Linked DNA regions of Oryctolagus cuniculus. The main gene of each other region encodes a partner of the protein of the gene in region 2 in a complex. Links are inferred from orthologs where the notes say so. Each region holds a gene or a part of one and is shown on either strand. Other genes may lie near its edges.

Region 1 (4,641 bases), on a different chromosome or scaffold from region 2:
GCCCGGGAAGCAGGCTTAGGGGCAAGCGTGGCCCTGGCCCCACCACGCCCACCTCCCAACACCCTGGCCGCCCTCACCTGCTCCCCTGTCTCGGGGTTGATCACTGTCTCCCGGTCAAAGTTCAGTGCCCCCTTCTCATCCTGCAGAAGGGACACGTACGGGGGGTGAGTGAGAGAAAGGGGCCCCAGCACAGTCCAGGCATTCAGCCCTGACAGCCTGGGTCCGAGAAGCGGCTCGGGAAGGGGGGGCCAGGAGCAGCGAGCAGACAGATGCTCGCAAACCTGAGTCCTGTGGAGTGGAAGAGCCAGCTACCTGTCCACAGCACAGAGGGAAACGGATGGCCAGACAGGGAGGGAGCTGCCTGAGTCACCCCCAGACCCAAACCTGGCCAGGCATTCGGCATAGCAGTCAAGATGCCCTGTGGGACACCCACTCCCACAATGGAGTGCCCGGTTCAAGCCCCGGCTCTGCCTCCAAGTGCAGCTTCCCACTAATGGGCACGCTGGGAAGGAGCAAGTGGTGGCTCAAATACGTGGGCCCCTGCCAACCCACGTGGGAGACCTGGATTGGGTTCCAGGCTCCTGGCTTTGGCCCAGCCCAGCCCTGGCCGTTGCAGGCATTTGGAGAGTGAACCAGAGACAGAAGGCTATGAACCAGAAGATGGGAGGTCTCTCTCTCCTGGCTGCTCCCCGGCACTGCTGGAAGAGGCCTCAGACCCGCAGACCGGCCGCGCGCCTGGCACCTTCACCCGTCACCCATTTAATCCTCACAACCACCCTCCAGGGAAGGCTGTTATTCTCCCACTTCTCTGATGAAGAAACTGAGGCTCGGACGCTGAGAGCCCCCAGACGCCATGCACAGCGTCTCCAACACGGACAGCCATGTGCAGGGGGCCTGCTGTGTGCCAGGGCTCACTACCCGCCCACCTTGGCTGTCCAGCCTCGACAGGCCACGGGCAGAAGGGCCAGGAACCCTGTTTTACTGGGGCCTAGGACAGGAACGGCCTTTCCCAAGGCCACAGGCTGGACAAGCGCCCCCTGACTTTCCCAGCCAGCTCCCCCGTCCAGGGACGCAGCCTGTCTCCCGGAGGGCCCACGCCGAAGCCGGCCGTCGCCGCGCTGCCCCGTTTCGTCTCCTCTGTGCAGCTCCACTCGGCCTGCTGCTCCCGAGTGGTGTTCAAAGGGCTCCGGGTGCTCAGGCCAGCCAGCAGGAAGCGGCTGCTCTGGGGGAGGTGGCTCCCTAGGGTATCCAAAACCTCTGTGGCCCAGGGGGACAGCAGTGGCGGGCAGCCGGGGCCGCAGCCTCAGGACGGGAGCATCCAGGGCCTGCCTCTTCGCAGCCTGCACCCCGGGGCTGCTGCAGCCTGAGCAGAGCGACCCTGGCGCAGGCTGAGCTGCCCCCAGGCTGCCCCCGTGCACCCACGGAGTCGTCCGAGCCCTGGGACGTCGCGGGGGAGGGCAGGGCGGGGTCTTCCCTGCTTCAGGGGTCATTTCTCCACCAACCCAAAGCCCCCAGAGGGCAGACCCGGAGCAGCTCCACCCTGGGTGGGGGGGGGGGGCAGGGGAAGGCCCGCGCGGGCGCTGCCTCTTACCTGCACAAAGAGCTTGCCGCTGCCGTGGCCCAGCAGCTCGTGCAACCCCACCTGCACGTCGAAGGAGGGCCCCTTCCAGCGGAGGTACAGGTCCTGCCGAGACATGCAGGGGCCCGCTGTCTGCCGTCCCACCACGGCCACTCAGCCCGGACCCGGGGCCCGACACGGCGCGCCTGCCTGGGGCAGGCCCCCCATCCCAGCCGCCACTGGGGAGGGACGCGGGAGGGACCGCCTCCTTTGTGTGACCAGCGGGGAAACTGAGGCTCCAAAGTGGCACACGGTCCCGCGGGATAGTGGTGCGGCAGGAACCGAAGCTGCGCTTGCTCCTCCTGAAGGTTCCGGGCCGTCCACCCTGAGGCCTGACCCTGACCCTGGCCCAGCCCTGAACCTGACCCTGGCCCTGCCCTGACCCTGGTCCAGCCCTGACCCTGAGGCCAGCCTGGCCCAGCCCTGAACCTGACCCTGGCCCTGCCCTGACCCTGAGGCCAGCCTGGCCCAGCCCTGACCCTGACCCTGGCCCTGCCCTGACCCTGACCCTGACCCTGAGGCCAGCCTGACCCAGCCCTGACCCTGGCCCAGCCCTGACCCTGGCCCTGGCCCAGCCCTGACCCTGGCCCAGCCCTAACCCTGGCCCTGGCCAAGCCCTGACCCTGACCCTGGCCCTGGCCCAGCCTTAACCCTGACCCTGGCCCTGGCCCAGCCCTGACCCTGGCCCTGGCCAGCCCTGGCCCTGGCCCTGGCCCGGCCCTGGCCCAGCCCTGACCCTGGCCCAGCCCTGACCCTGGCCCTGGCCTAGCCCTGACCCTGGCCCAGCCCTGACCCTGGTCCAGCCCTGACTCTGGCCCTGGCCCAGCCTGACCCTGACCCTGACCCTGAGGCCAGCCTGACCCAGCCCTGACCCTGGCCCAGCCCTGACCCTGGCCCTGGCCCAGCCCTGACCCTGGCCCAGCCCTAACCCTGGCCCTGGCCAAGCCCTGACCCTGACCCTGGCCCTGGCCCAGCCTTGACTCTGACCCTGGCCCAGCCCTGACCCTGGCACAGCCCTGACCCTGGCCCTGGCCCAGCCCTGACCCTGGCCCAGCCCTGACCCTGGCCCTGGCACAGCCCTGACCCTGGTCCAGCCCTGACTCTGGCCCTGGCCCAGCCTGACCCTGGCACAGCCTGACCCTGGCCCAGCCCTGACCCTGGTCCAGCCCTGACCCTGGCCCTGGCCCAGCCCTGACCCTGACCCTGGCCCAGCCCTGACCCTGGCCCTGGCCCAGCCTGACCCTGGCCCTGGCCCAGCCTGACCCTGGCGTGCCCACCTTGTCGTCCTCCTCCAGGAAGGTGAGCTTCTCCCGCTGCGTGGTGTAGGCCACGGCCAGCACGTTCCCCAGTGACACGTTCTTGAAGCCTTCGGTCTGTCTCAGGTCATCGTCTGGAGAACACAGGGAGTGTGACCAAGGGTGAAGGGGCAGAGGTCAAGGGTCACAAACAAGAGAAAGGGCTGGCAGGACGCACTGAGCAGGGTGGTTTGCGGCCAGGGTATCCGTCGGAGAGGGGCAGTTCCCAGTGGTGCCCCGCCCCCACCCTCCCACCGCCCGGGCTCGGGAAATGCTGGGGGAGCTCACAGTTGGGGATGTTGATGCCGGCAGGGATGCCGGAGCCGGCGAAGGTGAGGACATCCAGGGAGGTGAAGTCAGGGGTGAGGAACTTGTCCTTCTCGAAGGCGGGCGGCCAGGGCAGCTCCTTCAGCAGCTGCTCGGCGCTGGCCACCAGCCGCTCGAATTTGGCACTCATGGCCTTGTTCACCATGGCCACGAAGCCTGCAGGGGAGGCGGGAGCTGTGGCTTGGCAGGGTGAAGGGAGGGTCCCGCCTCACCCTGCTCAACCCCGCTAACCATCACGCATGTGTTCAATGCCTGCTGGGAGCAGTGACCCTGTGCTGGGTCAGACAGCAATGACCCAAGCCCGGGTCCTGCTGGATCAGGCCCTGGGCAGGAAAGCTGCAGGTGGATGGCCCTCCCTCCCTCGGGCCCCTGGGCCTGGTCTGAGGGCTGGGATTCCTCTCCCAGGCCCACCTCTTCAGCCTGGGCAGCCAGAAGCTCACAATGCATCCATGGTGGGACAAGGCAAGGGTGTGTGGAGACAAACTGACTGCACACGATGGGCCCCCTGCCTCGCACAACTGGGTCCCACAGGACGTGGGGACCGAGGGACAGGGGTCAGGCAGCCTGCCACCAGGGACGGGATGACTAGCCACAGCCATGGCATCAATCACACGTCCAGCCACTGAGCGTCGGTGACTGCATCTCACTTCACCTCAGAGCTAGGGCTACTTGGCCTGGGGCCACACACCCACGGGGCAAGGCCTGGCTGGGAACCTGCGTCCGTGTGCGGCGAGTCTGGGCCCTGACCACACGGACACCAGAGGCAGCACAGCACAGTGGCTCAGGGCCGGGGCGCTGGGGCTCCGCCACCTGCCACTTGCGCCCCAGCTCCCACGCCTGCAGAGGTCAGCTTTGCGAGACTGTACCTGGGACACCGACGTGGCTCGTAAAGTCAACAACATCTGCCACGCCTGTTGCTGTGACAATTACTGCCCGGGGAAGGGGGTCGGGGAGCCCTCAGGGGATTCTGGGAGCCTGAGCTCAGACAGGAACAAAAGGAATCTGAGCCCCGCTCCCCGCAAAAGTTACCTTCAAACTCTCCTCGGGAACCAAAGGGGTCGCGGTAGCTCTCGATGAACCCGATGTAACTGGGGGAGAGAAGGGCCCAGATGCAGCAGGGGCGGGCGGGGCGGGCGGGGCGGGAGGCGGGGGCCTCACCTCTCCACGATGGGGCCTTTGTCCTGGATCCAGAAGCGGGAGCCCCTCTTGTGGGCCTCGATGGAGCCCTGGGTGAAGCTTTCCACGTACTGGGCCAGCATCTGCTCCTGGTGGCTGTTGGCTGCATACGCCTGGGGGTGAGCCGCGTCTGTGAGCCGCAGGCCATCCACACACGCGCCCCAGGCCCCCTGTGCCGGGCAGAGGGGTCCCCAGCCCCCAGCCAGCCCCACCTTGGCTTTCTCC
Region 2 (5,322 bases):
CAAAAATCAAACCTTCGCCTCTGTTCCCACAGCTCTCATGCTTCCCATGCCTGCTTGGCTATTGACTTCGCTGTTCTCCATGTGCCCCGAGGCTGGAGCCTTGATGACTTCAGCACAGCCTGCCTCTCACCGGATCCTTCTGAGAACAGTTTTTAAAGGAGAGATCCAGGGACCGGCGCTGTGGTGCAGTGGGTTAAAGCCCTGGCCTGAAGCGCCGGCATCCCATATGGGCACCGGTTTGAATCCTGGCTGTTCCTCTTCTGGTCCAGCTCTCTGCTATGGCCTGGGATAGCAGTAGAAGATGGCCCAAGCCCTTGGGCCCCTGCACCCGCATGGGAGACCTGGAAGAAGCTCCTGGCTCCTGGCTTCGGATCTGCGCAGCTCCAGCCGTTGCAACCGTCTGGGGAGTGAACCAGCAGATGGAAGACCTCTCTCTCTCTCTCTCTCTGCCTCTCTGCAACTCTGTCTTTCAAATAAATAAATAAATAATAAATAAAGGAGAGATCCAGCAGCACGTCACTCCCTCAGGCCACTGCCCAGACTCCTCAGTCCCTCCCTGGTGACATGGATTCCTCCTCCTGAGCATGAAGTCCAAGAGCTTCTGTTACCCAGTGCCAGCTGGCCTCCCTTCCTAGTCTGCTCACTTCTCACCCCTTGGATCTGGATGGTTGGCAGCTTTCCTCTTGTGTGTCCACTCCAGATCCCTGGAGGCTGGCCTGCAGCTCTGGGTCCCGGGCAGGAAAGACTGCGGTGACCACATAAGCTTTATCGTGGTCTGTGGCTGGCAGGTGCGGGCAGCAGCAGCAATTGGCCAGGCTGCGGTGACCACGGTTCTGCCTTCCAGCACCTGAGCCTGACTGTGTTCCCCAACCATCTGCGCGCTTTTCCACCTCTGTTCATGTCACAGCCAGCTCTTCTTTCAGAAAGCCTTCTTCAACCCACCGTGGCAGGCCTGACCCCAGCGCCACACGCCCGGGAACCTCCCACAGCTTTAACAGCCTGCACTACGCCACGTGCCAAAGGCATTTTGTCTGTGCCCTTCAGTCTGCTCGCACCACTCTTGGTATTTTACACTTTCCCCGGCTAAGGGAGGAGCTCTCGGAAGGTGCTTTTCACTCACTTGGGTGCATCTCCCAGAGCCTATAAGAGGCCCCTGCACTACATAGGTGCCTGAGTGGCCTTTTGGGGCTGCTCAAGGCCACACAGCCCACGAGCAGGCAGCAGGCGCAGGAGCAGCCCCAGGGATAGGCATTTGGCACAGTGGTTAAGCTGCCGCTAGTAACACTCGCATCCCATGGCGGAGTGCCTGGGTTCAGGTCCTGGCTCCGCTCTCCATTCCAGCTTCCTGCTAATGTGCACCCTGGGAGGCAGCGGCTGGGTTGCTGCCACCCATGTAGGAAACACACACTAAGTTCTTGGCTCCTCGGGCCGGCACCGCAGTTCACTAGGCTAATCCTCTGCTTGCGGTGCCGGTACCCCGGGTTCTAGTCCCGGTTGGGGCGCCAGATTCTGTCCTGGTTGCTCCTCTTCCAGTCCAGCTCTCTGCTGTGGCCCGGGAAGGCAGTAGAGGATGGCCCACGTGCTTGAGCCCTGCACCTGCATGGGAGACCAGGAGAAGCACCTGGCTCCTGGCTTCGGATCGGTGCGGTGCACCAGCCATGGTGGCCATTTGAGGGGTGAACCAACGGAAGCAAGACCTTTCTCTCTGTATCTCTCTCTCACTGTCTAACTCTGCTTGTTAAAACAAATACACAAACAAAAAAAACAAATAAGTTCTCGGCTCCTGGCTTTGGTCTGACCAGCCCTGGCTGTTACACACACTAGTGGAGTATACCAACAGATGTGAGATATCTCCCCATCTGTTTCTGTATGTCTCCCTTTCTCTGTATCTCTGCCTTTCATATACAATGAAAGTAAACTGATTTTTTTTTAACAGAAAGAAGCAGCTGTTGGGTCCCCTGAGTACAGCTCTTCTCCCTGCCTAGTCCCCACCCCCACCGCTGCAGGTCCTGTGGTCTCACAGAAGCACATCCCAGGGGAGGCTCCTGCACCTGGTAAGAGACAGCTCCTGTGAAGTCCAGTAAATGGGTAACTCAGCGCTGTCCCAGCTCATTCTGTGCAGCAGGGCAACAGCATCGATCACTAGAACTTCCTGGAAACCGCCCAGTGTGAGAGTCATGGCCAGGCTTGGCTGCCTGTGGCTCCCACCCCCACCCCCACCCCAGCAGGCTGGCCAAGTGGTGCAATCCCCTCTCCAGCCTGCACACGGAGCAGCCTGGGAACTGCTCCATGTCCGCCCCTCGGGTATAAAGAGGGCCTCCTGGGAGGCCAGCCGGGAGAAGAGGCTGGGCTGGCTCTGGGGACGGACGCAGCAGGTAAGCCAGGGCCCTCTCAGCCAGGGTAGCTAAAATGGCCTTCGGGACCCAGGAAGGGACACAGGTGATGGTGCCTCATCATAAGACAGACACCCAGACATGGGCCACCTGTCCCTCAGCTGCCATGCTGGGTGTCACCAGAGGATGGAAAGGGCAGGGTGGCCGGGTCCTCCTGCTTCCTCTGAGCATTGCTGGGGTCCTCGGGGGTGGAGGGCACAGACACAGCCCCAGAGTCACTGTGGCCAAGAGTCTACCAGGTTCTCTCCCCACGCGGGTGAAGAGCAAGGCTGCCCTCGAGTGTGCACCCGCGGGTGCACAAAACAGAACGTGATGTACATAGGAGCACAATAGAAATAAGAAAACAGATCAAAGCACAGAATGGGGTAAACACAAGGGAGCTGGGGAGCCTGCCTGGGGGACAGCAGTGCAGGAGGGAGAGGAATTCAGAGAAGCGCAGGTGAGCGGTGTCCTTGTGAGCACTTGGCCACGGGCTGCAGAAGAGGTCTCCAGGCTGGTGAAGAGGCAGGGCCAGGAGGGGTGAGGTTGGGGGTGAAGGAGCCCAGGGAGGGGGCGTCAGCCCGCCACGTCCGAGCGCCCCTCTGTCCTCACTTAGCCCAGCTCGCAGATCACAGGAGGCAGCAAACAACCACCTCTGCCTTGAGAGCCGTAGAATTTTCTATCGTTTCTGCTTGGGTTCAGGAGCAGCAGAAGAGGAGGGGCTGCACTTACCCTTGTAAGTGCAAGGCAGGGTGGGTCCCCAGGGGTTCTCCTGTCCGTTGGATTCAGTTTCGTGTCTGGATTGGGAAGGAACTGGCAATGTGGGCTCACAGGAAGGCCTGCAAGAAGGGGGCAGAGTCTTGGGTCCCATTTGTCCTCGCTGTGTGGCTTTTTGCGGGAACTGTCAACAAAGTCAAATGCAGAGGAGGAGGGGGAGGTGGTGGCTGAGGTCAGGGGTCAAAGTTCCCGTGGTGATCGGATGACTAGAGCAGAACCAAAGACAGCACACACCTTAGTTGAACGTGCTGTGCTGAGGGCAGCGCATCCCAGCAGAGGAGCAAGGTAAGACGGCGGCCCAGAACGCACAGGTGAGGCAGGGAAATTGTCCAGGATGTGACTGCCCACAGCCCTGCAGGCGCCGAGGGGGCGGGGCGAGTGAGGCCCAAGCAGTGACATGGCTGTACGGGATACCCCTACTGCCAGAAATGGGCGAGATGCAGTAGAAACCGTGGGAACTGGATGAACCAATAGAACTTGCTTGCCTTTGATAGAGAACAGTCAGGCCAAATAAATTAGCAGGCCAGCCCCAGACCTCCTTGTCCAGGATCTCAGGCTAGCTCCTTTGTGCTCTGGTGGGCATTTGGTGAGAGAAGGGGGACGGAGCACCTGTGGGGTTCAAACCCTGGCTACGCATCAGTCAATGAGCAGTTAGGAAAAATCCTGTACCCAGCCCCAGCTCAGACCCACGAGGCAGACTCCTGGTGAATGGGGCTGGAGCGCTGTGGGGGGTAACGTGACGCAGGCACAGCTGAGAGCTTGTTTCGGGGCTGAGACAGGTGGGCAATGCCTGGCTTCAGCTGAACTTGGGCTGCTTAATTCTTTTTCATGTTAGGACCACAGGGAAACTAAACCCTCCTTCCCAGGCCACACCACAAGGCCATTTGGAGCCAGGAGGCTCCACAGAGACTGCCTGGCTGGCACATACTTGATTCTTTTTTTTTTTTTTTTTTTTTAGCATTTTGTGATGGTTTTATTGGGGTGAAGACACAGGGCGTGAAAGGGTACCCTTGGCAGGTGCGGGGAAATTTTTTTTTTACACACTTGATTCTTTAGAGCAGACTTCTGGCCACAGGCAAGCGTGTGTTTCAACTGAGCTGCCTGGGCAGCTTCGACGAGACACAGTTCTTTGTTCACAGTTCCGGAGGCTGGAAGCCTCAAGAGCACAGCTGTGCCCTGAGATCTGTCTCCTTGGCTAGCTGACGGCCGTCTTCTCCCTGCCTCCGCATTCTTCCCTCTGTGTGCCTCTGTACTGGTTTGCCACCTCTTCCCACAGGATCACCGGTGAGCCCGGGTCAGGGCCCAGCCTGTGCCTCATTTTCCCTTCATCACCTCTGTTAGACCCTGTCTCCAAACATAGTCCCAGGCTGCAGGGCTGTGGGTTAGGCCTTCAACAGAGACTATGGGGGACACAACTCAGGCTCCCTGCTGCCCCCGCCCAGCTCACAGATCACACGAGGCAGCAAACAACCACCTCTGCCTTGAGACCCATAGCATTGTTCCCGGGGGACCCACACCAGGGTCTGTGTGCAGGAGCGGCCGAGGAGGAGGGGCTGCACTTGGAGTACGTGAATGTTTTCCAAGGAGCTCTGCTCTTGCTTCTTCTCTCCTTTCATTGCAGACACAGGTGGGTTTCTCCCAGGCTAAATAGTTGCAGGAAACAGTGCGACAACTCAAAGTCTGGCTAGAGGACACTTAATGACGGCTTAATAATCACCTTTCACCCTTCACCAAATGATATTTCAGGCTACACAGAAGCGGGCACCTTGATCGGAGATGACTCCTGCCGGCATGGGCCTGGGAGCCACCATCGTTTGCCTCTTGGCCTGGGCTGGCCTGGCCGCGGGTGACCGGGTGTACATCCACCCCTTCCACCTCCTCTTCTACAGCAAGACCAGCTGTGAGCAGCTGGAGAAAGCCGACGTGGAGACGCCCAAAGAGCCGACCTTCACACCCGTCCCCATTCAGGCCAAGACGTCCCCCGTGGATGAGGCAGCCCTGCACGACCAGCTGGTGCTGGCCGCCGAGAAGCTGGGGGATGAAGACAGGCTGCGAGCTGCGAAGGTCGGGATGCTGGTGGACGTCCTGGGCCTGCGCATGTACAGGACCCTGAGCGAGACGTGGAGTGACCCCAGCGGGGCTGTCCTCTCCCCGGTGGCTCTCTTCGGCACTC
Region 3 (5,342 bases), about 31 Mb from region 2:
CACAGGGGTGGTGCCATTGGCCAGGGAGAGCCTCTTGGTGAACCGGCTCCACTCGGCACCCAGCCTGGCCATGTCCACACCTCGCTCCTGCAGGATGTCCCGGACTGAGGGCATTTTCTTGAGGAGGATCCTGGCCCAGGGAGGAGGAAGCAGAAACAGAACTCTGTACTGGCCCCCGGGACTGCCGCAGTCTCAGCCCACCGCGGACCTCAGCCTGGGCGCCATGGGGTCACGTCCCAGCCTAGGGCCTTCTGTGAGCCACCGGTCCTGGTGCTAGATAATCCTTGGCTAACCTCTCCCTGTTGTCTAAATTTGATTAGATGAGGCCATCTGTGTGATGGCCCATTTATTTGCTCACTCATCCCATAATCACGCATTGAACACCTGCTCTGAGCCGCATTATGCAGGGTCCTGGAGATAGGTAAAGATCCTTGCTGCCTTCAAGGAAGCCCACCAGGCAGGAGACAGACAAGGAAACAGGCAGCCACAGCTCGCCATTCCCGCTGGGGCCAGCATCCCTCAAGCCGAAAGGAGGGAGGCAGTGCCATGTGTGGCCTCTAGGTGGCAGCAGATACACAAAGCACTCTGCAGGGTCGGTAGGACACCTGGGAGCTGGCACCCAGACGGGCTGGAGTGGAGCAGACCCACAGCATCAGGCCAGGCAGGGTGCCCGTGCACCTTGTCCTCGGGAAGATGTGTCTTGGGCCTAAGTCTCTGTCCCTGGGCTTCTTGTCCAGACACCTCCCCATCCCCTTTGGGAGGCAGTTAGAGACTTAGGGGTCTGGAGCATGGTGAGCTGGTGCCAGATAGGGATGTAGAACTGTGCACACTCACCCAGGCCAGCCACACAGCAGCAGCTCTGCAAACTAGCGTCCTTATCCCATGCTCTACGGGAGGAGACTCAGGAACAGGGGAGCAGGGGGCTGACGCACGTGGCTGGCTATCTTTCCCAGAGGATCCCCCGGGGTGCGGACGTGGAGGCTGCTTGCCAAAGCCTGGAGGAAGCCATCTCCAGCCTTGGCCAGGAGGTCCCAGGACTGAATCCCCACTTAACCTGGCAGTAGATTTTCCTATACACAGAGTCCCTCCTCCTTTGGCGGGTGCACCCTGCACTCACGTCTCCTGCCCCCGCCGCGCCGGCCCATGAACGTGAGTGCCGCCTGCGTGCCTATCCCCAGAGGTTGTGCTGGAACTGTCCTCTCACGGTGTACAGGTCACGAGCTGGCTTCACAGGTGGCGTTTCCTTTGATCCTCACTCATCCCATGGGGTGGGTGATTTTATTAAGCCCAGAAGAGGCTCTGACTCCACTCCAAACATCCTCTGCTGAGCGCCTTGGCTTTGCTGCCACTCCCCTTTCGGGAAACCCCTTCTGTCTCCCAGTTCTTCACTCTTCAAAGTTCAGCACACACCCCTGCCTCCGGAACCTTGCTGGGGCCGGCACTGTGGCCCAGCAGGTTAAGCACCGCCCTTTGATGCTGGCATCCCGTACAGGTGCCGATTCGAGTCCCGGCTGCTCCACTTCCAATCCAGCTCCCTGCTAGTGTGACTAGGAAGGTAGTAGAAGATGGCCCAAGCCCTTGGGCTCCTGCACCCATGTGGGAGACCTAGAAGCTTGCCCCCAAAGACTCGGTCCACACTGGTGTTCCCCACCAGCCCAGGGAGGCAGTGCCATATGGTGGGGAAGCACACAGAGCTTGAAACCCCTGTGTGACTCTAAGCAAGCTGCCTAACCTCTCTGGGCCTTTTAAGACCCTCATTTGCTTCCCTATGAAAATGGGTCTAACGGTGGTGTCTACCCCAGCACAACTCTGCAGCCCAAGCCCGCTGCCCCCTGCGCAGTCCCTGTGAGTCCTGGGGTGTATGGCAGCGACAGCACCTTGAGAACGCAGCACATCGATTCAGACCTCCCCAAGTGCCTTCTCCACTCTGCACAGGGCGGGCAGCACAATTCCTCCAGCTGCAGGCAGGCACTGTGGCACAGCGGGTTAAGCCAGCCCTTGGGATGCCTAAGTTCCCTATTGAAGTGCAGGTTCAAGTCCCAGCTGCTCTGCTTTCGATCCAACTCCATGCTAATGGCCTGGAAGGCAGCAGATGATGGCCCAAGTCCTTGGGCTCCTGCTGCCCATCTGGGAGTCCCGGATAGAGTTTCTAGCTTCAGCCTGGCCCAGCCCTGACTCCATGGGCATTTGAGGGGTGAACCAGTGGATGAAAGATCTCTCTCTTCTCTCTCTCCTCCCATCACCTTGCCTTTCAAAATAGATTTTTTTTTAAAAAAGATCTATTTATTTACTTGAGAGGCAGAGTTACAGAAAGAGAGAAGGAGACAGAGAGGGGGTCTTCCATCTGCTGGTTCACTCCCCAAATGGCCACAATAGCCAGAGCTGGCAGATCCGAAGCCAGGAGCTTCTTCAGGTCTCCCACATGGGTGCAGGGGCCCAAGGACTTGGGCCATCTTCCACTGCCTTCCCCAGGCCATTAACAGGGAGCTGGAATCAGAAGTAGAGCAGCCGGGACTCAAACTGGTGCCCATATGGGATGCTGGCAACTCAGGAAGGTGCTTCGCCTGCTATGCCACAGTGCTGGCCCCTAAATATAAATTTTAAAAATGGCAAACGGAGACTTGACGAGGTTAAGTAGCATGTGCAGGGTTCCAGAGGTAGAGCAGAATTTGAACCAGATGGGCCACCTTTGCAAGGTGTGCATTTAGCCTGCTTCCCTGGCAGAGTTTACACTACCCATCCCTCACGCCCTTCCTAACACCAGGCTGTGAGCTCGGGGGTGGGGGAGGGCCAGAAACACATCTCAATCATCTCTGAGCTCCGCCCCACTCCCCCGTGCCCCAGGTAGGGTCCAGAAGGCATGGCTGCCGAGCTGTGTGACACTGGGCAAGCTGCTTGCCCTCTCTGAACAGGACTACACCTCCTTGCCCAGCTGGTCATGAGGACGAATCGGCACCACATAGCTGACCGGGTGCCAGGAAGGTGGGAGCCTCCAAGTCCCTGCCGCCCCTTCCCTGCCCGAGTTACCTTCTGAAGGCGCTGGTGTCGGCGGGGAGACCCAAGGTGCAGGAGCCCCAGAGTACCAGCAGGAGTCCCCAGCGAGGCATTCTGCTCCCGGGGCCGAGCTCGCTCACGCTGGCTCCACTGCAGCCTGGGGCTCCCTGGTCCTTCTTCCTTTATACACCGGCACGAGGCATGCTCACCGTCCCGCAGGGTCCTGATTTATTGCACGGGGCCAGAGGCGCGGCAGCCACTCGTAAATCCCACCCGGGGGGACCAGGCTTCCTGGACGTGGAGCAGGGCTCTGTGCCCAGTGACGCCAGTGGCTCCTCGCCTGGCCTGGCCCCGCGACCCCCGGCGGGGGTGGAGGCTGATGAGCAAACCGTGCTCAGGGATCGGCCTGGGCTGGGCTGGGCAGAGAACTTGGTTCCCAGCTCCCAGCCCCCATGGCCCTGGGGCTCCCTCGTCAGCCTCAGCCCAGCTTTGCCCCCGCCTCTTACCTGGTCTTCCCATCTGGAACATGAGGGAAGCTTCCTGGCTTGGTCCTTGGTGTGTGTGGGGGATCCTGTACCTGGCGGGGAGTCTGCCTGCCCTACCCATGCAGGAGGCTGAGAGGCATGGCACACCATGCCTGCCGGGAGGGCCCCCACAACCTGACTGCTGGCTGGCAGGCGGTGGGAGCCCCAGGCACTCCCCCCACTCCCTGTAGGGTCCTGTAATTGCCAATCAAGTAAACAGCTCCTGGGTGCGGCCCGGGCCCATTAGGACCACCTGGAAAGCTATCCCAGCTACGAGACCCTCAAGCCGATTGGAGAAGCATAGAGGTGCCCATGTCGGTTCTCTCCTATAGAACTAGTGTTGCCCTGAATTAGTTACGCCCCTTCTGCCTGCCCTTTAAAAGGTGTGCATGGTCGTTAATACAGAGGATGAGTTCACCGACACTTGTCTCCGGTGCTTCTTGCCGAAGATTGCCGTCGCTCCACCATCCTGGCGGTGTGGGGGTCCCGCGGGTCAAGCCCGCAGACTGGGAAGCAGGGGCCGGGGGAGGGCGGCCCTTGCGCCCTGGGGGGCTCCTGCAGAGGAGGGGGCGCAGCCGCCTTCCCACCCCTCCACCCCCTTCTGCGTGGCCCGGGTTCCGTTTGGGCCGAGTCTGCGTCCTTCCCCCTTCCCTGTAGCTTGCCCAGCAGTCAGGCGGTGCCCACACACCTGGCCCCTAAGTGCCAGGACGGGTGTGGTTTATTCAGCTTCTCTCTGATTTCAGGGCCGTCCTCCTCCATGGGGCAGGCCTAGACTCAGCCCAGACTCAGCCGGGGATGGGCTGCCTTCGTGCCGTGAAGAGCATGAGCCATCACCTGCTGCCTCCCAGGTGCATCAGCAGGAAGCCAGATCTGCAGCAGAGGTGGAACTCAACCCCAAGCACTCCCAGGAGTCATAGCGCAGCGCATCACCACGGCCAACCCTTGGTGCTCTGTAAATCCTCGTTCACTGAGCATTTGTGCTTTGCCAGATGCTGGGCTTACAAAGGTGACAAAAATGCATACACCTCTGCTCCTGTGCACCCACATTCTAGGAAAATAGACCGCTACCATCACACGCTGACATACACAGTGATGATAGCTAGTGCCGGCAGTGACCTCCAGGAAGGTCTCCCCTAGGAAATCACCCCTGAGTGGGCACCTTCAGCCCACCGCCCCGCCTCCAGGTCTGCGGCTGACAGGTGCTCCCATCCATGGTTTCACAGCGGTCCAAGCAGACAAAGACAGCAAGGAAGGACAGGACAGTCGAACTGCCTTTCAAATTGCTTTTGCATCCAACTTTGAACCCATCTTTAATTCCTTTCCCATGAATGGTTTGACAACCCCTCAAATAGCAAAGGCAGCTCTTTGGAAGAAGTTGGGCCGTAGGGAAGGAGATTGAGAGCTGGAAATGTGAGTGAGGACTGAGAGAGGAGTCTCTCCACCCCCCCCCCTTCCTTCTGCCCTTCTTTTCTTTTTTTTTTTTATGATTTATTTATTTGAAGTCAGAGTTACACACAGAGAAAAGGAGGGGCAGAGAGAGAGAGGTCTTCCATCTGCTGGTTCACTCCCAAATTGGCTGCAACAGCCAGAGCTGGACCAATCTGAAGCCAGGAGCCAGAAGCTTCTTCTGGGTCTCCCACACGGGTGCAGGGGCCCAAGGACTTGGGCCATCTTCCACTGCTTTCCCAGGCCATAGTAGAGAGCTGGATTGGAAGTGTGGCAGCAGGGACTCGAACCAGCGTCCATATGGGATGCTGGCATTGCAGGCGGCGGCTTTACCCGCTATGCCACAGTGCTGGCCCCATGCCCTTCCTTTCTTAAAAT
Region 4 (4,641 bases), on a different chromosome or scaffold from region 2:
CCGGGGCCATGGAGAACTGGGGCCTGGTGACCTACCGGGAGAGCGCCCTGCTTTTCGACCCCCTGGTGTCCTCCATCAGTAACAAGGAGCGGGTGGTCACCGTGGTTGCCCACGAGCTGGCCCACCAGGTAGCCCCCATCCTGGGGTGTGCTGGGAGAGGAGGGGGCGGGGCTGTGATAGGCTCTGCCCTGAGCCGCTGCAGAGGGAGGGGCCCTGGCAGGGCAGCAGGGAGGGGGTCCCAGTGATGCCAGGAAAGCCCCCAGGGCCTGGACCGGTGGCTGCTAGGCCAAGGGCAGGGCCAGTGCTGTCCCAGCCACTCGGGGAAGCGCGTGGCTTTGGGGCTGACTCCCTTCTCTGGCAGTGGTTTGGGAACCTGGTGACCGTGGACTGGTGGAATGACCTGTGGCTGAACGAAGGCTTCGCCTCCTACGTGGAGTACCTGGGTGCTGACTACGCAGAGCCCACCTGGAATCTGGTGAGCCAGCTGCACCTCCGGGGGTGGGGGCTGGGGCCGGCAGGTGGAGGAACCACGCCCACCCGCCAGGCCAGACTGCTGATGGCCGAGGTGGTGGATTATTGTGCAGAAAGACCTCATAGTGCTGAACGAACTGCACTCGGTGATGGCCGTGGACGCCCTGGCCTCCTCCCACCCTCTGTCCTCCCCCGCCGACGAGGTCAACACACCCGCCCAGATCAGCGAGCTCTTCGACTCCATCACCTACAGCAAGGTGCTGCCCCGGCCCTGCCACGGTCATGGGCTCGGGGAGGGAGATGGGGCACAGCGGGCGGGACAGCACCCTGGTCCTCCCACAGCCTCCTCATCCCCTCCCTGGCTGCCTCCGCAGGGCGCCTCTGTCCTTAGGATGCTGTCCAGCTTCCTGACCGAGGACCTGTTCAAGGAGGGCCTGGCGGTGAGCACAGATTCCCTGGCCAGACCTGGGGGTGGCTCTCTTGGCTCTCCGCCCACCCCAAGCTTGGCACTCACACGGTCTGTCTTCCCACAGTCCTACCTGCACACTTTTGCGTACCAGAACACCATCTACCTGGACCTGTGGGAGCACCTGCAGCAGGTGGGTAACAGCCAGCCCCCGAGGACTTCAGCCGGGGGTGCGGTGAGGGGGCTGTCCTGAGTGCTGGGGGCAGCACAGGTAAGAGAAGGTGCTGGGCTCTGCTGTTTCCAGCTGGGGCAGGCCCCGGAGAGCCCTGGTTGCTTGTCTGTGCAATGGGTGTGCTGATGGCTCCAGGGACAGGAGCTTCCTCTTAGTGGGGAGGACACAGTCCCGGGGCTTCCTGAGCCTGGATCCTCCTCCCCTACCCAGAACTTTGGAGCCAGTCTTTGCCCGACTCAGCACTCCTGGCTGCCCTGTGCCCCATCCAGCTCCTGTCTGTGGCCAAACCCTTTGCCCACCACGCCCACCCGCCTGCCTGTCTGCCCTTGCAGCCACCCCGCCTGACCCCGCCCCACTTGGGGCTGGAGTCCACACTCTCCCCTGTGGGCCCCCCCATCCGACACCAGCCTCCTTAGCTGAGGTCGTGGCCTCTTTCAGTGCAAGAACCCATCCCCCACAACACTAGATTCCAGTCCAGCTGCCCCCTTCCACTCCCTGCTCCCCGTGGCCACTGCCCTGCCAGTCCCCATGGCCAGTCCCACCTGCAAGGGGCAGCCAGGGTCTTGTCCAGGCCCCGGGTCCATCCTGGCCATCTCCAGCCCGGCCTCCCCTCCCCTGCCCCCTCCCTCCCTCAGGCCTGCTCCCTGCATAGCTGCAGCAGGACCCTGGCTGCTGCCTCCCCACCAGGACCCCCGGGACTGCCCCAGGCAGGTGGGGACAGCCTTGCACTTTGCTCTGCTGCAGGCTGTGAACAGCCAGTCGGCGATCCAGCTGCCCGCCTCTGTGCGCGACATCATGGACCGCTGGATCCTGCAGATGGGCTTCCCGGTCGTCACCGTGAACACAACCAACGGGGTCATCTCCCAGCATCACTTCCTCTTGGACCCCACGTCCAATGTCACTCGCCCGTCAGACTTCAAGTGAGCATGCAGGGTGCCGGGGGCCAAGCCTGGTGTCTGAGACTGTGGGCAGGCGCTCACCGCCCGCTGCCGGTCTCTGGTTGCAGCTATCTGTGGATTGTTCCTGTCTCGTCCATGCGGAACGGCATGCAGCAGCAGGAATTCTGGCTGGAAGGCGTCGAGCAAAGTAACCCTACCCTGTGCTCATGGGTGATGCTCGCCCCACACTCCCAGCTGCGTGCTGGGGGCTGTGCGGGCATGGGGAGGGTCCCAGCCTCTGCTTTGCTGCTGCCCGGCTGTGTGACCCTGGGCAAACTACCATCCCTCTCTGCTCGCCATGTCAGCATCCGTGAAATGGGGCTGAGAACACTGGGCTGGGTGAGGGTTAAAGGGGAGAAGCCATAGAAAAGTCTTCAGGCACAGGCTGGCACAGGGTTGCAACAGTCCCACCCTGCCAGGCATGAGGGAGTGAAGGTCACAGCCAAATAACTCTGTCTGGGCCCAGGCTGGCAGTGAGAGGGAGGGAGAGAGCAGTGAACAGCATCCAGCGCCTGTGATTGGGCTACTGGGGTAGGGGGCTGGGAATGAAGGAACTTGCGTTTCACAGAGTAGTCAGGGAAGGCTTCCTGGAGGAGGTGAGCTAGTCAGGAAGAATGGGCATTAGCCAGGCTAACGCAGCCCGGAGAGGAGGCCATGGCTGCCTGAGCAGCCCCTTGCTCCAAAGCTCTGGTCCCTCCCACAGCCCAGAACTCCCTGTTTAGAGTGGAAGGCGACAACAACTGGATCCTTGCGAACCTCAACGTGACGGGGTATTACCAGGTGAACTACGATGAAGGCAACTGGAAGAAGCTTCAGACGCAGCTGCAGACCAACCCCTCGGTGGGTGGCCCCTGCGCCAGGACGCGCCGCGGGACTGCAGGGCCGCACGCTTGCTCCCGTGGCCAGCCCGAGCTCACACACTCCGCTTCCCTTGCAGGTCATCCCTGTCATCAACCGGGCGCAGATAATCCACGACGCCTTCAACCTGGCCAGGTGACGGCAGGTTCCCTCTCAGGGCAGCAGGCTCCCCGGGCTCCCTCCCTCGGTCCCAGCACACCCACTTCACAGATGCCACTCGGCTCGCAAGTGAAAGGGGGTGGGTGGAGTTCATAGCAGAGCCTTTTTCTTGTGAGCTGAGTGGCCTTGGGACAGTCAGGTCACTTCTTTGAGCCTCGGTCTTCTCATCTGTAAAATGGGTACAATGAGCGAGGGCCCTGGTTGCTGCATTCCCCATGGCAAATGCTGGCTCGCTGGGACCTCGGGCTCCTGGAAGGCCCATTCTTGAGAGCTTGGACTGGGTTTCCAGCTGTGGCTGAGCTGGGGGCCGTGCTTACTTGAGCGCCTCTGTTTTTTTTTTTTCCCAGTGCCCAAAAAGTCCCCGTCACACTGGCGCTAGATAACACCCTCTTCCTGATCCGAGAGACCGAGTACATGCCCTGGCAGGCGGCCCTGAGCAGCCTGAACTACTTCAAGCTCATGTTCGACCGCTCCGAGGTCTACGGCCCCATGAAGGTAGGGGCCCCATGAAGGTATGGCACCGCCCGGTGGGGTCCCAGGGTGTCCACGCGCCCAGCATCGGGAGCTGCCGGGAAGATTTCCTGGTCAAGTCCTTTCCTGAGCGCAGGCCTGATGGAGGGGGGCGGGAGGGAGAGGTCGCAGAGGTGGAGGGAGACGGGACTGAGCAGGTGCAGTGGTTAATGCAGAGCGGGGCGGAACGGCACGCCTGCGGCTTGCGGCAGAGTTTGCCACTTTGAAATGCGGGAAGAGAATGCTTTGGGCAGGCCCAGAAAAGGCCCCTGTGCAGGGGAGGTGGCCACAGAAGACCTGTCCTTGCACAGCTGTGTGGCCTGGCCACCTCCCCGTCTCGGCCCAGGGAGCAGGCCCCTCCCTGCCGGGGGAGGCGCTGGATGAATTTTATGGGAGGGAAGCCAGCTTGTTGTGGCTGAGGTTAAGTGGGTAGGGTGTTCCTGGCAGCGCTGTTGACAAAGACATGAAACAGACAAGAAACCCAGGAAACACTGGGGTGTCCAACAGCTGGGGATTGGTTAGGCTAAGGTAGCACCCCCGTGTGATGGGATGTTACGGGGCCATCAGAGCGTGCTTGAGGAGGTAATTTTTTTATGAAAAAAAAAAAAAAGTAAAATTAAGGATCTACAGCCAATCGTGGTGAGCGAGGTGCTTTGGTGGAGGAAGTTCCAAGTCTGTGACCTGCTTGCCCCGATGCCGTTCCGCCCCCCCCCCCCAGGAACTCAAATCATAAAAGGAGAGGGGACTTCAAAACCTGCACTCCCCACCAGTGCCTGGGGGGGGGTCCGGCTCCTTGCTGCGGTGCCCCACCCCGGGGAAGCAGCAGGTGATGGCCCAAGTGCTGGGGTCCCTGCCACCCATGTGGGAGACCCTGATGCAGTCCAGACTCCTGGCTTTGGCCTGGCTCAGCTCCAGCTATTAGGGGAATTTAGGGAGTGAACCAGTGGATGGGAGGTCTGTGTGTGTGTGTGTGTTTGTGCGTGTGCGCGTGTGTTTCAAATAAAATAGTTTTTTTCAAGACTCATAGCTCATAGGAAAATGGAATGAAATAAGTTTATTTTGGTGCA

The links.
Region 1: the proteins of AGT (region 2) and DPP3 are in contact, whole or in part, in a crystal structure (PDB 5E2Q), measured with the Homo sapiens proteins. The link is inferred for Oryctolagus cuniculus from reciprocal best matches to the Homo sapiens genes AGT and DPP3. Residues at the interface, in NP_001369746.2 of Homo sapiens: Asp25, Arg26, Val27, Tyr28, Ile29, His30, Pro31, Phe32; in NP_005691.2 of Homo sapiens: Phe109, Glu316, Tyr318, Glu329, Phe381, Gly385, Ile386, Pro387, Ala388, Gly389, Ile390, Asn391, Ile392, Asn394, Arg399, Val412, Leu413, Val415, Ala416, Phe443, Val447, His450, His455, Glu507, Glu508, Asn545, Arg548, Leu552, Glu555, Phe556.
Region 3: the proteins of AGT (region 2) and REN are in contact, whole or in part, in a crystal structure (PDB 6I3F), measured with the Homo sapiens proteins. The link is inferred for Oryctolagus cuniculus from reciprocal best matches to the Homo sapiens genes AGT and REN. Residues at the interface, in NP_001369746.2 of Homo sapiens: Asp25, Tyr28, Ile29, His30, Pro31, Phe32, His33, Leu34, Val35, Ile36, His37, Asn38, Glu39, Lys91, Leu92, Ala95, Met96, Met99, Leu100, Phe103, Arg107, Arg148, Ala151, Ile152, Gly154, Gln353, Gln354, Asn355, Asn358, Glu391; in NP_000528.1 of Homo sapiens: Tyr81, Met82, Thr84, Gln85, Val102, Asp104, Gly106, Ser107, Asn109, Ser118, Arg119, Leu120, Tyr121, Thr122, Val125, Tyr126, Leu147, Arg148, Tyr149, Ser150, Pro181, Ala182, Leu183, Pro184, Met186, Leu187, Ala188, Glu189, Phe190, Val193.
Region 4: the proteins of AGT (region 2) and ANPEP are in contact, whole or in part, in a crystal structure (PDB 4FYS), measured with the Homo sapiens proteins. The link is inferred for Oryctolagus cuniculus from reciprocal best matches to the Homo sapiens genes AGT and ANPEP. Residues at the interface, in NP_001369746.2 of Homo sapiens: Val27, Tyr28, Ile29, His30, Pro31, Phe32; in NP_001141.2 of Homo sapiens: Gln211, Gln213, Ala351, Gly352, Ala353, Met354, Glu355, Arg381, Val385, His388, Glu389, His392, Glu411, Glu418, Asn438, Arg442, Phe472, Tyr477, Ile864, Phe896, Ser897, Asn900, Gln903, Ala904, Arg907.

The regions. Positions count from the first base shown.
Region 1 is NC_091432.1:5,400,893-5,405,533, forward strand, and holds part of DPP3 (dipeptidyl peptidase 3), read right to left. Parts: coding exon 4,629-4,641; intron 4,530-4,628; coding exon 4,399-4,529; intron 4,329-4,398; coding exon 4,270-4,328; intron 3,397-4,269; coding exon 3,202-3,396; intron 3,009-3,201; coding exon 2,896-3,008; intron 1,685-2,895; coding exon 1,592-1,684; intron 141-1,591; coding exon 78-140; intron 1-77. UniProt on the Homo sapiens protein: Cleaves and degrades bioactive peptides, including angiotensin, Leu-enkephalin and Met-enkephalin. Also cleaves Arg-Arg-beta-naphthylamide (in vitro).
Region 2 is NC_091444.1:50,286,823-50,292,144, reverse strand, and holds the start of AGT (angiotensinogen), read left to right. Parts: upstream 1-2,219; 5' UTR 2,220-2,375; intron 2,376-3,104; exon of another isoform or gene 3,105-3,434; intron 3,435-4,297; exon of another isoform or gene 4,298-4,433; intron 4,434-4,895; 5' UTR 4,896-4,925; coding exon 4,926-5,322. UniProt on the Homo sapiens protein: Essential component of the renin-angiotensin system (RAS), a potent regulator of blood pressure, body fluid and electrolyte homeostasis.
Region 3 is NC_091444.1:19,655,361-19,660,702, forward strand, and holds the start of REN (renin), read right to left. Parts: upstream 3,182-5,342; 5' UTR 3,108-3,181; coding exon 3,028-3,107; intron 131-3,027; coding exon 1-130. UniProt on the Homo sapiens protein: Renin is a highly specific endopeptidase, whose only known function is to generate angiotensin I from angiotensinogen in the plasma, initiating a cascade of reactions that produce an elevation of blood pressure and increased sodium retention by the kidney.
Region 4 is NC_091443.1:99,844,229-99,848,869, reverse strand, and holds part of ANPEP (aminopeptidase N), read left to right. Parts: coding exon 1-128; intron 129-361; coding exon 362-475; intron 476-584; coding exon 585-728; intron 729-845; coding exon 846-911; intron 912-1,004; coding exon 1,005-1,070; intron 1,071-1,853; coding exon 1,854-2,029; intron 2,030-2,115; coding exon 2,116-2,195; intron 2,196-2,750; coding exon 2,751-2,887; intron 2,888-2,984; coding exon 2,985-3,040; intron 3,041-3,411; coding exon 3,412-3,559; intron 3,560-4,641. UniProt on the Homo sapiens protein: Broad specificity aminopeptidase which plays a role in the final digestion of peptides generated from hydrolysis of proteins by gastric and pancreatic proteases.